2 linked regions of the Oreochromis niloticus genome follow. The protein of the gene in region 2 interacts with the protein of the main gene of each other region in a biochemical or structural test. Links are inferred from orthologs where the notes say so. Each region holds a gene or a part of one and is shown on either strand. Other genes may lie near its edges.

Region 1 (7,755 bases), on a different chromosome or scaffold from region 2:
ATCATCATCACTATCATCATCAGTATCATCATCATCATCATCATCATCATCATCATCACTATCATCATCATCATCATTATCATCATCAGCATCAGCAGCATCACCATCATCAGCATCAACATCATCACTATCATCATCATCATCATCATCGTCAGCAGCAGCAGCAGCAGTAGCATCACCATCATCATCACTATCATCAGCAGCAGCAGCAGCAGCATCATCACTATCATCATTAGCATTATTGCTGATGATGTTTCTGACATCTCATCACCGTTTCTTATGAAATATAATAAAGTCATTTTCCAATATTATTCAAACATTTCTTTCTCAGCATTTGGAGAAAAGTCCTTATTTTATTATTTATTATTTATTTAATTCCACTGAAATGAAACAGATGATATTTGTGGAGCATGAGCTGCAAACAGCTTTTCTCCCTCGGGCCGTCTCAGGGCGTTTGTACGGTCTCTCCCTCCAGGCGAGCACCCCCTGCAGGCCGAGCCTCCCTTCAGCAGCCGCTCCACCTGAGGCATGCTGGGAGCTCGCAGACTGCCTCCCCCCTCTAAAGCTGCAGCTGTCTGCGTCTCTGCTGGAAGCGGCGCCTCCTGCAGGTGAGCAAGGATGAGCGCTGTCAACACCTCAGCTGGAAGAGGAGGAGCAGCGTCCTTTAAGTTGAAGCTGAGCTCAGGATGAAGGACAGACTTTACACAGCTTTCTTCATGATGATGTATAACAAAAATAAAATTACTTGAATCTTTGATTAATCTGATGATTATTTTAATCAGGCAGGCAGTTGATGAGTGAAACTTCATTAGAAAATCATTAAACGGCCTCCTTGTGTCACATTTTATACCACAGCATTAGAGCTGGGCGATATAAGATTTTTTCATATCACGATATGTTTTTTCATTTCAGGCGATAACGATATATATCACGATATAAGCCAAATAACTATATTTGTAAGATTTAAATGTGCCATTGCTCACAAGTAAAATGTGAAATAATCAGCAGCTTGTTTTAATTAAAATATTTATTTCCCATAATAAGTTCAACAGGGTAGATGTACTTAAGGAACATGAGACTTCAGTTTCAGATAAATAAAGGCAAATATTGCAAACTACACAAAAGGCAGCCGCTAAAGCGTTTAAGTTTCAAAACAGAAAAAACAAAACAGACTAAATTGTCAATTCCACTTAGAAACAAAATATTAATTCTAAAAATAAATCTTAGTTTGTTTTACAGAAGAACAGACAAAATTGACTAACTTTTGTCAATATCAAATAAACTGAGAACTAAAAGGAAATTCTCAATCTCTCCTTGTTGTATAGCTTAGCTTTTCAAACAGTTTTAACAGTTACTTTAGTCTGACAAAAGCCGAATGACGAATTAGCGCTTTCAGTCAGAGATTGAGCATGCACCGCTTTATTGTATATCCAGACTTGCTTTCGGCACAATTTACAGTGCGCGCTACTCTGTTTTTTGTCAGACTTGAAATAGCCAAAATACCTTCACACTACGGAACTTCTGTGGCCCTTCCGTTCGACAAGCTCTCCTGCATTGGAACCATCATCTGTTTTTTCTTCGGTAACCTTCGCTCACGCTCTCGGTTGATTTTTCTCTAGTCGGCAAACTCATTTCCTTCATTACCCGGGCTGCACGGCTGCAAAAACAAATACACATGTGCACCTTGGCGCTTGTGCTGTACGTAACAAGTCACGTGACGTGACGCTGCGGCTGTGATTGGTTTGGCTTTGCGCTACTTAATTTGGATTGGCTGTTCTTTTTTTTCTTTTTTTTAAGAGGACAAGAGAGATGAAGCCTATCGCAATAGTTTAATTTTTCTATTGAGAAAAAGTTATTTCGCAATACATATCGTTATCGTTTTATCGCCCAGCTCTACACAGCATATGAAACATATCTAACAGTATGATCAGCAGCAATGCAAAGAGATAGAAAATTCTTAAAAGGCCCTGCAGGTGGCGCTGTGTGTGGTTGGCTTGTCTCCATCCTGTGAAAGCCGAGGTCTTTCTGGAGGTGGGCAGCTGTGTATTAAAGGAGTTAGGTCACTGACCTCGACGACCTGCAGTCCCTATGCTGTCCAGCAGGGGGCGGGTCCTCTGAAGATTGACTGGACAATGAGTCTCATGCTCAGCTGACCTCTGACCTAAGTGATGAGATTCTGTTCTCAGTCACTGCTTTCAGGTCTGGTTCAGGTGAGATGGGGACGAGAAAGTCAGAGGAATGTTTGGGTAGCACCTTTAAATGATTTTCTCACCTTAAAAACACACAAATCAATTCATTCAGGATCCAACAGCACACCGCAGCCTGATGTATAAAGATGAACTTTAAAGGACAGTTGGAAAAATTACAGTTATGAAGATCGACGGAAATAAGGCGATGAAGCTGCCGGCGTTAGCATACCACAGACCTTAAAAACCAAACAACGCTACGTAAAAACACAAGAAAATTACTTCCTGTTACTTTAAAGAAGGAAGAGTTATCAAAGACTGTACCAGATACACACAAATGTGAAAGGATCTGAAGGAGACTTCAGAAGTCTTAACGAAAGAACACCAACATGTGACTGGGATGGAGCGTTACAACAGAAGAAGGAACCTCCGTCTGTGCAGCCTGGCTGAACAGGAAGGAGACGAGGTTAAATAACGAGTGATAGAGACCTGCAAGGTTGTTGCTCCAGACGAGATCCATGTTTCTCGATGTGAGCCACTGAGCTGGGCAGAGAGAAAGCAACGAGAATCGACAGAGATTCATCTCAAGATGGAGTTTATATCAGCACTGCAAGTTTTCAGTAGCTTTAAAAAAAGGTGGTGAGATCATTATAATGAGTCTGAGTTTCTGACACATTCCTAAAGTGATGACTTCAGTCTCTACGTGAGTTTATTGTTCTATTATTCTGTCTTTAACAGTTTATTGAAGGGAGCCGCTGCAAGAAGAAGATGAAACATTTACAACCTTACAATAATTAATACTTGATTGCATCGAGCGACAGAAAAGCCGGCATGAGGTGAAGAAATGTGTGTGTAAATTCTGCGTTCAAATTAACGGTAAAATAACTTTATGGTAATGATATTTCTGTGTGAGGACAGTGAGACAAAGTCACAGAGTCACAGTGTAAGTTCATTAAGATTAATTTGAACCTTATTAGTGATAATATTTAAAGGTGCAGAGTCATCTCCAGACTGTAAACAAAACTACAATCAATTTATAGAATATGAGATTTAATTCAACACACAAACAAAGTGCAATAACTCTGACTAAGGCTACATTCACACTGCAGGTCTTAATGCTCAATTCCGATTTTCTTATCAAATCCGATTTTTTTGTCTGCTTGTTCACACTACAAATAAAAAGCGACAGCAAACGCTCTCCAGTGTGAACGCTCAAAGTGGCCCGCATGCGCAAAAGAAGACGTCACACACAACTCGCTCTGTTTAGACCCAAACCAAACAGTATTGTTTGACTGATGGCCCTTAAAATAAAGACTTCGGACTTCACGTTTCCCAATTTTTGCTTTAAGTTATTTTGTTATTTACATAATAATGTAAATAACCTAATAATTATCCTTATTGCTGTTTTAGAGGAGCGGTGCTTCAAAGGATAGTCGCAGATTTCTGTCAGAATCTGCAGATTATACAGTACAAATAAAATGTTCACGTTGTCTTCCCAACAGTTTCACTGACATCTACACTGGATGGCCAGGAAGCGTTCGCGATGTCTTCTCCGGCGCTGATAATTGGCGTCTGTCTTGTGTCAGTGACGTAAAAGACGGATTTAATGCGACGTCCGTTCAAACAGCAGTCACTTTCTAAAACATCGGATATGTATCGGATTCAGTACCACATACGAAAGTGACCCAGATCGGATTTGAAAATATCGGATTTGTGCCGCTCACACTGTCATACCATGATCGGATATGGGTCGCATAGGGTCAAAAAAAAATCGGATTTGATGCGCTTTCGCCTGCAGTGTGAATGTAGCCTTACATCTTTATTTTATGACTCGTTTGGGCTCCTATCTGCTGTTTAGTGTATGATCCCTGTCATCTGCACTGATTTCCACACACCCACAGTCAGGAAGTGTGGTTCAGGCCTCAGCTGATTATTAAAGGATCTGAAGGGTTGAGCAGACGTGTGTACAGTGCTACAGCGCAGCTGTACTCAGAGTCTAATCTACTGCCCACAGTCACAGTTCTGTGGTAACCGCAGTATTACTCTATCAAACTCTCCCGAGATATAATGGATGCTTTTCTTTCACACACTAATGTCATGCTTGAACAGCTTTATTTGCCTGGGGTTGTTCTGACAGCTGAGTCTGTGTCCTGTTTCCTTCAACAGGATAACGGACTGAAGTCCAAGTGCGGTTTCAGCCTTTGCTTTCACTGCACTGTGAGGACCTGTGCAGCAGATTAATGACAGCCGAACGATGAGCGCTCATTTAAACGTTTGTACAGGTTTGTGTTTCCCGCCTTTTACCGCTCACAGATTTTACAAAAGTTATAATTTAATGTTTTTCAGATGGACTTCCGGGCGAGCGGAGCGCCGCACCAGCGAAAAACACAACACAACCGGAAGCAGCAGCAGTGTGATTGACAGGTCGGCCCACCCACTCACACTCAGCTACGCACCTTTAGTGGGCGGGGCCCCGCTACGTTGTTTGTGCTATTCGTTAAAGCACGTACGCAGAGACGTGACGTTTGACGCTGTGGCTGGCAGCCGCGCATGCGTGCCTATCTGTCAGTCAGAGGACTTTTAAATGGCCTCGCAGTCCGGGAGCCCCGGTGCTCGGTAATAACGCCGTTATTCAGGACATCAGCCCCGTGAACAGCGTGTCCGCGCGCCGCGGGAGGCCCCCTGTGCCCGGCGGGATCGCGCTTTGTCCGGTCAGTGCGGTGAAAATGAGCGACGAGGACGAAACCGCGCAGAGAGCGCGCCGCGGGTTCGAGGAGCTCTGCAGGGCGCTGAACATGGACGAGGAGGCGAGCGGGGAGGCGTGGAGGAGCTACGAGAACATCAGCAGGAACTTCACCCTGGAGGTAGCACGCTCACCTGGACAGGTGGCTCTGTGACGTGTTTCTGACGGGTCTCGGTGTCCACGGGCAGGGGCGTGTCCGCAGGGGGCGGGGGGATGCCCCTTTAACTGTAGCGCTGTCATATTCTACCAGCAACAAGTATCTGAATACTTTTACTTGAGTACTTTACCGTGTGCCCTGCATGGCGTTTCCTCCTCCATCAGGTGGAGGTGGTGTTTATGTTGCTCCGCCCAGCAGCCCGACGTGTTAAACACAGTAATAATAAAGAACTGTGCTACACTAATATCAGCATAACGAGTACTTTAAGTACTGTGTGTACTTGGATCTGAGCAGTATGACGGTGAATTTTACTTCAGTGATGGCTCTAAGTACACTGAATGTGAGCATTAAATACCCAGGAACGCCCCTCAAGCGAAGGCTGGGTCCATCCTTCAGAGGACCCGGCCTTCGCGGTCTACGTGGGCCGGGTCCTTCAAAGACCAAGAAGGCCGGAAGTGAGCGGCTGTGAAATGGGACGGTCTGGCCTTCAGATCTGCGTCACCGCTGTCTCGGTGGAGTTTAATAAACTCGGCCGTCTGCTCCTTGCTATCTAAAATATAACAGGACACTGGAGCAAACTCTCAACCGTCTCACACTTCTGTTTAATCAGTTTTCTGTTTGACGTTTATTCAGCTGTGTGAAAACCCCAGAGGAACCCACCCGAGGGATTAATAAAGTTTTATTTAATCTAATCTAATAACTTTAATCTCAGCCAAACCGATTTACTCACAAACAAATAAAACACTGAAAAAAGCCAAACAATTACATTTTTAGGTTGTCTAAGTGACTTATATATTACGTTTAACCTGAGTCACGAAAGACAGCGGGGGTCTGAAAACGATGAAGCCGGGAGTCCGCTGCTCTCGCTGGCTCGAGTGACCATTGAACCCCCGGCTTGCTATCAAGCGGGTGGGTAACAGACGTCTCCGAAAACGTTGGAGCACTTTTGCAAATATGTGATATCTTGATAAACCAAGCAGATATCTGAAGTTTACACAGCTACATTCTCGCCTGAAAATATGTTAAAAGTTTATTTTGTGACCCAGAAAGGGAAGGAGACGAGAGTGCTGTCCGTCCCTCGATGCTTCCTTCGTCCCGCAGCCTCGTCTGCATTTCTGCGCACGTCTAATCTTTTAAATAAAAATGATATTTATTCAGTAACGTCTGCAAAGCTTCCTGTCGTCTCGTTTCCTGTCGCAGGGCAGCGAGCTGCACTGGTTGGCGTGTGCCCTCTACGTGGCCTGCAGGTCGTCGGTGCCCACGGTGGGGAAAGGCACGGCCGAGGGGAACTACGTCTCTCTGACCCGAATCCTGCGCTGCTCCGAGATGAGGTCGGTGTGCCCCTCCCCACCTTCACACCCACAGAAACACAATCACTGAAGACATAACGACACACAGCCAGGCAGGTAACCCAGGTGAAGAGAATCAGGGCGGGGCCAGCAGGCACAGTAACAGAGGCAGACCTTCAAAATAAAACAGGAAATAGACAAAAGACTATGAACACGAGGGAACACGAGAACCACTGAGACACACAAACAGCTGGAAATGAGCAGGAAAACTAAATATATAAAATAATATCAGTTACAAAATATTAAAAATGATGAATAAATAAAAATAGAATAAAATGGAAATAATCACAATAATAAAAATTAAAATTGAAAAAGGTTTTTAATTGTGTGATCAAAACATGAAGCTGTAAACAAACAATGAGATTTATGTTCAGATATTTGTGACACTGTCACGTTATCTGCTCTGCACCTGCATCAGTAATCAAGCAGATTCACATAAACGTGGCTGATTTTATTTCCCAAAGCATATCATCTAAAAACAAAAACACAAAATAAGAATATAAATAAATAAATGATAGACCCTGTCAGACGTGCGCTCTGTGAATGGTTTAGAGGCAACCACGAGGTTTATAATACGCCGTCTTCGTGGTTCGGCGTGCTTCTCATATCCCCGCCCTCTGCTCCTCCTCAGCCTCATCGAATTCTTCAGTAAGATGAAGAAGTGGCAGGACATGGCCGACCTGCCGCCGGACTTCCGTCAGAGCACCGACAAGCTCGAGAGGAACTTCATTGTGTCCGCCGTCATCTTCAAGAAGTATGTCCCCATCTTCAAATCCATCTTCAGGGCGCCGTCAGAGGAGCCGCCGCGAGTGCACCGCAGCCGCAAGCAGAGGTGGGACTGTGACCTTTCACCTCACCTTCATACTAACTGCTCAGTATTCAATTCTTTGGTGTTTGTTGGTGTGGTCGCCGGGCGGCGGCGGGACTGCGGCGTCCGCTAACCAATGTGCGCACTTTGCTTTGCAGACGCCACCCGTGCACCGTGACCGAGGTCTTCAACTTCTGCTGGGTGCTGTTTGTCCACGCCAAAGGTAAGCACTTCCTGTTTACTGATGTCAGAGAAGTCCGTCCAGCGCCCCCCGGTGCAAACAACAGCTGGTCACAGACAGCTGGAGGTTTCGTCAGTGGGAATAGTGTTTCCCTCCCACTGTCGCCAAGTGCTCGCTCACGTGTGCGGTGTTTCTCTGTGTTACTGTCGGGTCGGGTTGGGATTGGGAGCTGCAGAAATGGGATAACAAATAATCAGGACTGTGAAGCTTCAATCTCTTCTTCTTCTGCAGCTTTGAGTGCACTGCTGCATCCCAGCAGTCACTCAGCTGG
Region 2 (7,777 bases):
CTATGTGTTAAATCAAAGAGGCTAGTATAAACAGTCCCTGTGTGCTTTCCAACTAACTCCATTAATAAAAAGGCCAGTTTATATGCTCAGCTAAGCACTGACCACCACCACCACCTTCCCTCTAAGCCCTATGGAAAGGATCCAGTCCCTTTTTGGGATCCTGATACACAGTGTAATGAGCATTTAAAACTACTGGGACTCAAATGGAAACAAATGTTGGGATTAACGTTCCACTTGAGAATACCAGACCTTTAAACTTCAGCACACAGAACTCCAAACATGGTAGAGGGCCCAGTCTCTGTATCCTTTTAAAAGTCAAGGAGGGGGTGCAGAGCTGCAGCATAAAAAGAAAAACAGACTCTGAAAACTGTCCAAAAAGAAAAGAAAAGAAAAAGCCTCTTCTATCAGCGTAAAGCCTAACAGCAAATTTATCATATTCACTATACACGCTGTCAAGTTATGGTGTCAGTCACTTGACTTCTGACACATAAATCTAACAATCAGAGGACAGGGTGTCAATTCTCCAGCAGGGGGAAGCCTAAAAATGGACCATGACCCAAGGCAGCAACAATATATAGCACGCTTTGGGCAAGAGAGCTTTCTAGAAAACAGAAATCCTAGACAGATCAAGATCAGGATTAAAAAGCACAAAAAACAAATCCAAAAAACAAACAAAAAGAGTATTAATCAAAACAATCTGAGGAGAGAAAAGTGGTAAAATGTTTCAGAGTAAATGCTCCTTTACAACCAGACATCCAGAGCCGGAAATCAGCACAGAGCAGAGAGATTGGGGTTAAGCTCAGCTCAGACCACAAAATCAAATGGCCAGTTATCAACCAAAGCAGAAGCATATGGGCATAATGACACTCAAAACAAGTTAATTAAGGTTCCTTTAAAAAAAATTATAATAGTAAAGGAAGGAACAACCTTACACCAGCTTAAAGGTCAACTTCACACTGTGATGATAACATCAAAGGTCAACCAACGTCTGAGGGAAATTACCATTAAATCACTTTTCAGCTATTTTTAACTATCTCTATGTTTCCAAAGCTGAATGATGCAACGCAGTGATGCAAAAAATAGAGCAAAGGACTAAGGAACTCAAATGTGAAAACTACCATTCACGCCACACATCACTTTCATCCATTAGGTCATGTTAAAGTTTGAAAACTGCCCACATTATTGCCTCGAACAAGTCATCCTCTCCATTTATAGACATGAGTAAACAGAAGGTAGATAAAGGACTCAGTTTCCTGACTACCTGTGAGAGCTGCTGAGGGGGAAAAGTATCACACACACAATCAGCTGGCAGTTTATTAGGCACATCTAATTAAAAACTAACAAGATTATGACTTTGATGGTACAATGTTTGTGGAAATTGTCTTGATTGAAACTTGCAGTGTTTTAGGAGTTGCCGAATTGTTCCAAATTACAGGAGGTGTTTCTCTCATTTAGACTAGCCCTCATTCAGGGTGTTTCTTGGCTCAAAATTAAAGGATTTTTATTGTCATTCCAACATTTGGCCTGGCCTGGCCTGTATTTATATAGCGCCTTTCTGGTCCCTAAGGACCCCAAAGCGCTTTACATATCCAGTTATTCACCCATTCACGCACACATTCACACACTGGTGATGGCAAGCTACGTTGTAGCCACAGCCACCCTGGGGCACACTGACAGAGGCGAGGCTGCCGGACACTGGCGCGTGAAACAAAGTTTTGCACTCAGCAAACAAGAATGAGAACACCCAAGAACAATGCATACAGAAACAAGGAGCAGGAAATACATTTGCAGTGTAATTTAGCATAAATAAGAAGTGGTGGATAGTGCAGAGCCCAGTGGTTTCTCATGTTTGTTATCTTTGGCTGGGAGCAGCAGAGACTATAAAGCACATTTAGGGCACCGATGGGGCTTTGGCGACATAAACAAACTTTATTCATCCACATATAGTGAAGGTAAACAGACTGTGTTACCTTAATTAACAAGTCTGAGCAATTTGCTATTTTTTTTGTCATTGGATAACCAAAAATGTATTTTAAGCTCAACTAAACTAAGCCCCACTTAGAAATAACTTTTTATAATTACACCCCTGGTTATTTTCCTTTAATGGAGGGCCAAATTTCTTAAGTAGATGCCAACTTTCTTTCTTTTTTTTATTGCAGGAAAGAAAAACCTCCTCGTTGACATAAACTGACTGGCTGGATTTATTACTGGATTGATTGCCTTGATCACCATACCCTGTGCCAAGAGCTATACAGTAAGCTTTTCCTCACATTTTCATTGCTCGAAGTGGCTGCACCTAAACTGGATACAATCAACCTTAATAGGCTAAATAAAAGGACCCCAAAAGCCTGACTTTCTCACAAGAAATCAACTTTATCTCTTTCCATTTTGATGCCAGCTGGCCACATTTTTCCTTTACTGTTTTCTAACAGCTTCCATACATAAATATAAAGGGAAAAAATGAGGCAGAGCACTTCCACTCAGTAGCACGGCTAAAAGAGATGCTGCAGTCACTGTCAGTGTGAATGAGCAGGGCTGTAAATGTGGTATGTGACTTGAATTCAAAGCTTATGGGTCATCCTGCCTGCCCGATAAAGTACCAAGAAGCCCGAAAACTACCACATGTAATTTCTTATTTAGCGACATATCACGGTGTAAAGCTGTTTAAACAGAACAGAAGTCTGGGGCAACTCGTAATGATTGTCAAATCCATGTACAACGCAGTGAAATATACACTATAGACGCCATTTTAAGAATGTCTGGAAGGCGGCGGTGAGGAGGGAGAAGACGTTAGCAATAAGTTAAGGAAGGGAATTAAAAAATAAAATCTTACCTTTTCACATAGTGTTTTTACTTGTCCCTCGGACAGCTGCTTGCATTCATTGAGCTGCTCGATCCACTGATCCAGTTCTTTCGTAAACGCCTTTTCGTCCATTTCTGTGTGTTTTCGGGTTTGCTGCAGTTTGTCACGTTAGCTAATTCGGGTTAGGACTCTCCCAGAGGTTACCGTCTTTCGAGGGCTTACAAAACGGCCACAGCAGAAGCTAATCACTCTCTTACTAACAGGCGCATGTATCGCTAACTGCCAGATCACTGTGATGATTTGACTGAATTGAAACTGGGAGAGGGAGGGAGAGGTGACAGTTAAGGATCCACCCTTGTCGAGCCGCTGGCGAGCAAATAACAAACTTCCGGTTGCGCTTCGAAATAAAAGCTTCTTGGCGGACAAGTTCTGAAATACACCCTTACCTAAAAGAAAAAAATAATAATTATAACTTGCTAGGGTTAAACATAACAACAATGCAACTAGAAAAAAAAACTAGCATCTGGCAAATAATTTAAAAAAAAAAAGAGTTACGTTTTAATTGACCACCTTTTACAACTTTTCTACGTATGTAAATTTTAATTTTATGTAAACAGCTTTTGTAAACATGGTCTGAATAAACTAATTTCTGCCACACTCTGAAACTTACACAGTGACAAAGGTTGGTAAATATACATAAAATATTTCCCAGAATGTGGTCACGGTAGATGTTTGAGGATATATTATTTTTATTATGATGACGATGATGATTGTTATTATTATATGAAGATTGCGTCAGACTGTATATTGTTGAAAAATCTAATAATTTCCGGTCTAACACTGTGTGGTCTACCTTTACTAAAAACAGAGCGCCGCCCGACACAAATAGCAACCAGAGACCTATGACGGCTGCTCACTGATTGGTTCGCTGAGCTGCTTCCTATGCAGTTTCATTGGCTCGCCGTTTATTGGGGAAGTTACCGACACAAACTAAAGAGAATACGTCATGGCTCTGTGAAAGCATGCCGTGCATTTCTCGGCGTGGCTATGATGTCACTGTTTTATCTCCTTGTTGTCAAGGCCAAAAAAGTAAACAAAACAAAAGACAGCGTTGTCTTTTAACCACGCTGTCTTTAACAGGCTTACCTTCCACATCGTATCCATTCCTCTCAGTTTTCGGTTATGAATAAAGGTCGCTAGGCCCATTTAAAGGAGTTTATTGTTTGTGTACGGTATCAGCAAAACTGCCAAGTGATCTCACTCAGACTCAGTCCTAAAGCCAGTGACTTTCTAACAAAGACAACGATTAAAGATTCATTGATAATACATCTGTTCGTCACACATATGCACTCATGCTTCATCACTGTAATAAACATAATCAGAGTTAATCTTTCACAAAAAGTTCTCTCTTCACAGAAACACCAAGTTCACCTTTAAATAAGACTATTTCCAAACGGCTCGTGTCCAAATAGTGAATTGTTTAGGAGGCACTTGATAAAAACTACAGTTCCCAGGAGAATTTCTACATTGCCTACGTTCTGGCATGTCCCTTCGATAGCTCAGTTGGTAGAGCGGAGGACTGTAGGTGTATGATAACAGGAATCCTTAGGTCGCTGGTTCAATTCCGGCTCGAAGGAGGTTTTTGGGTGCTTTGAGTACTCCGGGAGAGCAGAAAAGCGCTAAATAAGAATCAGTCCATTTACCATTTATTATATGTGAATTAATCAGCACGGTCAAGCCTCTTCTGTTCTTTGAAATTATGTAAAAGGACTCAGTGATTGAGAGTGAGAGCAACAACTCAAGAAATATTTCGAATTAGAAAAATGGGGGGCGGGAATAAGCTTTAATTGTGAACATTGATCATCCCATATCAAGCAGTTTATTAGAATGTGGCAACAACCTTTTTGGGATAAATTTGCTGACACTTTCAGCAATGACCCTGCTGTCGATTCACAAGAACCTCCTGTATATGTATGGGAAATGTATATCAAACTATATTCTTTAAAAAGTTACTACACACTGTAAGTTTCTGACTGTGGCTTTAACAGTTTCAATTCAGCATACAACGTGTTGTTCTTCTTTAACTCTAAATATAGACCTATTATATCATACTGTTATGTGAAGTCCAAAGCAGGTCTTCTCTTGTATTGTGCAAAAATATAAAATAATGGAGACTTTACTAAACCAGGTCCCAGTTAATCCCAGTCTCAATTAAACTGGTAACATAATAAATCATATTTATTTTAGCTGGGGGCTCTGTGTGGGGCAGTGATCCCACATCTTTTCCAATCACCCAGAACAATATTTGTCAGTTTGTCTTTATTTTATTGTGTCTTTATATATATACATATATATATCACCCCCTACCCTAACCCTAATCTAGATCGATCTCTAATCCCTAAACCTAACCAAGGAAGGAAAATGGCAGATTAGCCTGGGTAAAAGACCGAAAGTTGAGGTACACAACGATGTGTGCTGCTGGCAAAGTTTCTGGGCTGCCTTTCCTCATAACAGCCATCCCTCAAGAGTCTCTCCATCTAAAGCATTATCAGGGACTGTAACATCTATTAAAGAAAAAAAACTATCCAAACCTACTTGGCACTGTGTAAAAAAGTAATTGCCCCCTAAATATAATAACTAGTTGTGCCACCCTTGGCAGTAAGAACTCCAAACAAGTGTTTTCGATAATTGATGCTTTCACTTTGTCTTTTCACTCTTTCACTTTGTCTCTACACTGTTTCACTTTGTCTCTTGACTCTTTCACTTTGTCTCTTCACTGTTTCACTTTGTCTCTTGACTCTTTCACTTTGTCTCTTCACTGTTTCACTTTGTCTTTTCACTCTTTCACTTTGTCTTTTCACTCTTTCACTTTGTCTCTTCGCTCTTTTACTTTGTGGTGGAAGAACTTTGACCCTCTCTTCTTTGTGAAATTATTTTAATTCAGTCACATTGGAGATGTTCCCAGCATGAATGATCTGTTTAGGGTCATGTCAAAGTATCTCAGTTGGATTAAATTTGTTAAAGTTTGAATGGGCCAAACCCTCATTTTGTTTGGATTTTTTTTTTTTCACAGTTGGACTTGGATGGTGTGTTTTGGATCAATGTTCTGCTCCAAAACTCAAGTGTTCTTGAGCTTCAGAAAAGGAACTGATGGCCGGATATTTTCCATCAGGATTTTCTGTTAGACAGCAAAATTCATGGTTCAATCAATTACAGCAAGTTGTCCTGGTCCCGAATCAGCAAAACAGCCCCAGACCATCACACTACCACCAACATGTTTGACTGTTGTTACGATCTTTCTATGAAATGTTGTGTTAGTTTTACACCAGTTTCAACAGGATTCAAACCTTCCACAAAGTTCAACTTTTCATCATCAGTCCACAAGACATTTTCCCAAAAGTCTTTGGGATCATTAAGATTTTTTATTTTTTTTTGGCAAATGTAAGATGAGCCTTTGTGGGGTTTTTTTTTTTTTTTATTCCTGGGATGGTTCATCACTGTTCCAGGTTTTCTCCATTGGTTTTGTAACCCTTTTCAGACTGATAAATGTCAATGACTTTGTTTCTCAGTTGTTTCTTGAGATTGTGATATGATCTGTTGCTTTTTGAGATCTTTTAGCCTATTTCACTTCGTCAGACAGGTTCTATTTAAGTGATTCTTGATTCAACATGTCTGGCAGCAATCAGGCTTACGTATCACTAATGAAATTGACGTCAGCTTTCCAAAAAATGTGGTTAATCACAACTAATTCATGATTTAACAATGGATAGCTCTTCTCCATAATAAATGTAATCATCACTTAAACGCTGAATGTTGTTTTCTTTCCCTAAGATTAAAATTTGTTTGATGATCTGAAAAATTAATAAATGTTTGACAAATATGTAAAAACAAAAACAAAAACAAATGCTTTTTCAGAACACTGTGTATCAGATCCATCCATCTTCTTCTGCTTATCTATGGGTCACGTGTACCAGAGCCAAACACCAGGGTACACCCTGGACAAGCTGCCGCAGAGAACACTTATAATCACACTGTGGCCAATTTACAATCACCAACCCTGGAAGCATGTCTTTGGACTGTGGGGGGCAGCTCAGCTGGCCAGTGGATACAAATCCAGGTGTCTTGTGCTAACCATCAAAATGATCCCTTTCCAGTTTCGACCTACAGTAGCTGTCTGTTTTGATACTAAAACTGTTGCCTTAAAGGATTTTCAGGACACAGTCATTTACAATTCTGCCTTCAAACTACCACAAGCTCAAGGCAAGCAAGTGCAGTTTTATTGCTATTCCATTATTTACTACATCTGTTGTATTGCTGCTCTGACTTAACTGTATAGTCGAATTGCTTGTGTCAGCAGGAGGCCACCAATACTCGAACAGAGGCATGAGACTTGTGCCAGAGACGTGTCAAGACTGTTGTGAGCAGAGGCTGACAGAGGTCATAGGGGTTACATCTAAAAGAATAACCATATACCATCCAGGAAAGCCAGTACGTGTCAGTCTTGGTGTAGCTCTAGATTTTCAGCAGACTTATGAAAGCTTGACACGAGCATATCCAGGCCCATTCAAAGGCAAATGCAGCCTTTACAACAAACAGAGGCCACACACGAAACAATAACACAGATCAAAGGCTGTATCTGCTCTTCCAACACACTGGCACATGTTCAAGTATGTCACGGCAATTAACAATTATCCTATCTTAAATCGTGAAGCTTTGCTGCTGTCGCACAACCATCAATTACTTTTTGAAGGAAAAACTACTTCTCAATTTTCTGAGTACTCTTATAACAATCAGACATGACATCAAGAAACTAAATAGCTTCAGACAGTGTATATTAATCATGGGCATTCCAGCGATTCCAGCAATGATCTTAAGTCTTAATGTTCAGCATCAGTGAGGGGAATGTTATCTCCCTGAAACTGAAATGAAATCACCATCTATTATTGTTAAGCTCTATTTGAGAGAAAGAAATGC

Evidence for each region.
Region 1: the proteins of ppp2cab (region 2) and rbl2 form a complex in vitro, tested with the Homo sapiens proteins (2 studies listed by BioGRID and IntAct, with this or other methods). The link is inferred for Oreochromis niloticus from reciprocal best matches to the Homo sapiens genes PPP2CA and RBL2.

The regions. Positions count from the first base shown.
Region 1 is NC_031972.2:1,776,572-1,784,326, forward strand, and holds the start of rbl2 (retinoblastoma-like protein 2), read left to right. Parts: upstream 1-4,651; 5' UTR 4,652-4,912; coding exon 4,913-5,050; intron 5,051-6,286; coding exon 6,287-6,417; intron 6,418-7,066; coding exon 7,067-7,267; intron 7,268-7,401; coding exon 7,402-7,466; intron 7,467-7,755. UniProt on the Homo sapiens protein: Key regulator of entry into cell division. Directly involved in heterochromatin formation by maintaining overall chromatin structure and, in particular, that of constitutive heterochromatin by stabilizing histone methylation.
Region 2 is NC_031975.2:22,852,645-22,860,421, forward strand, and holds the start of ppp2cab (serine/threonine-protein phosphatase 2A catalytic subunit alpha isoform), read right to left. Parts: upstream 3,100-7,777; 5' UTR 2,936-3,099; coding exon 2,834-2,935; intron 1-2,833. UniProt on the Homo sapiens protein: Catalytic subunit of protein phosphatase 2A (PP2A), a serine/threonine phosphatase involved in the regulation of a wide variety of enzymes, signal transduction pathways, and cellular events.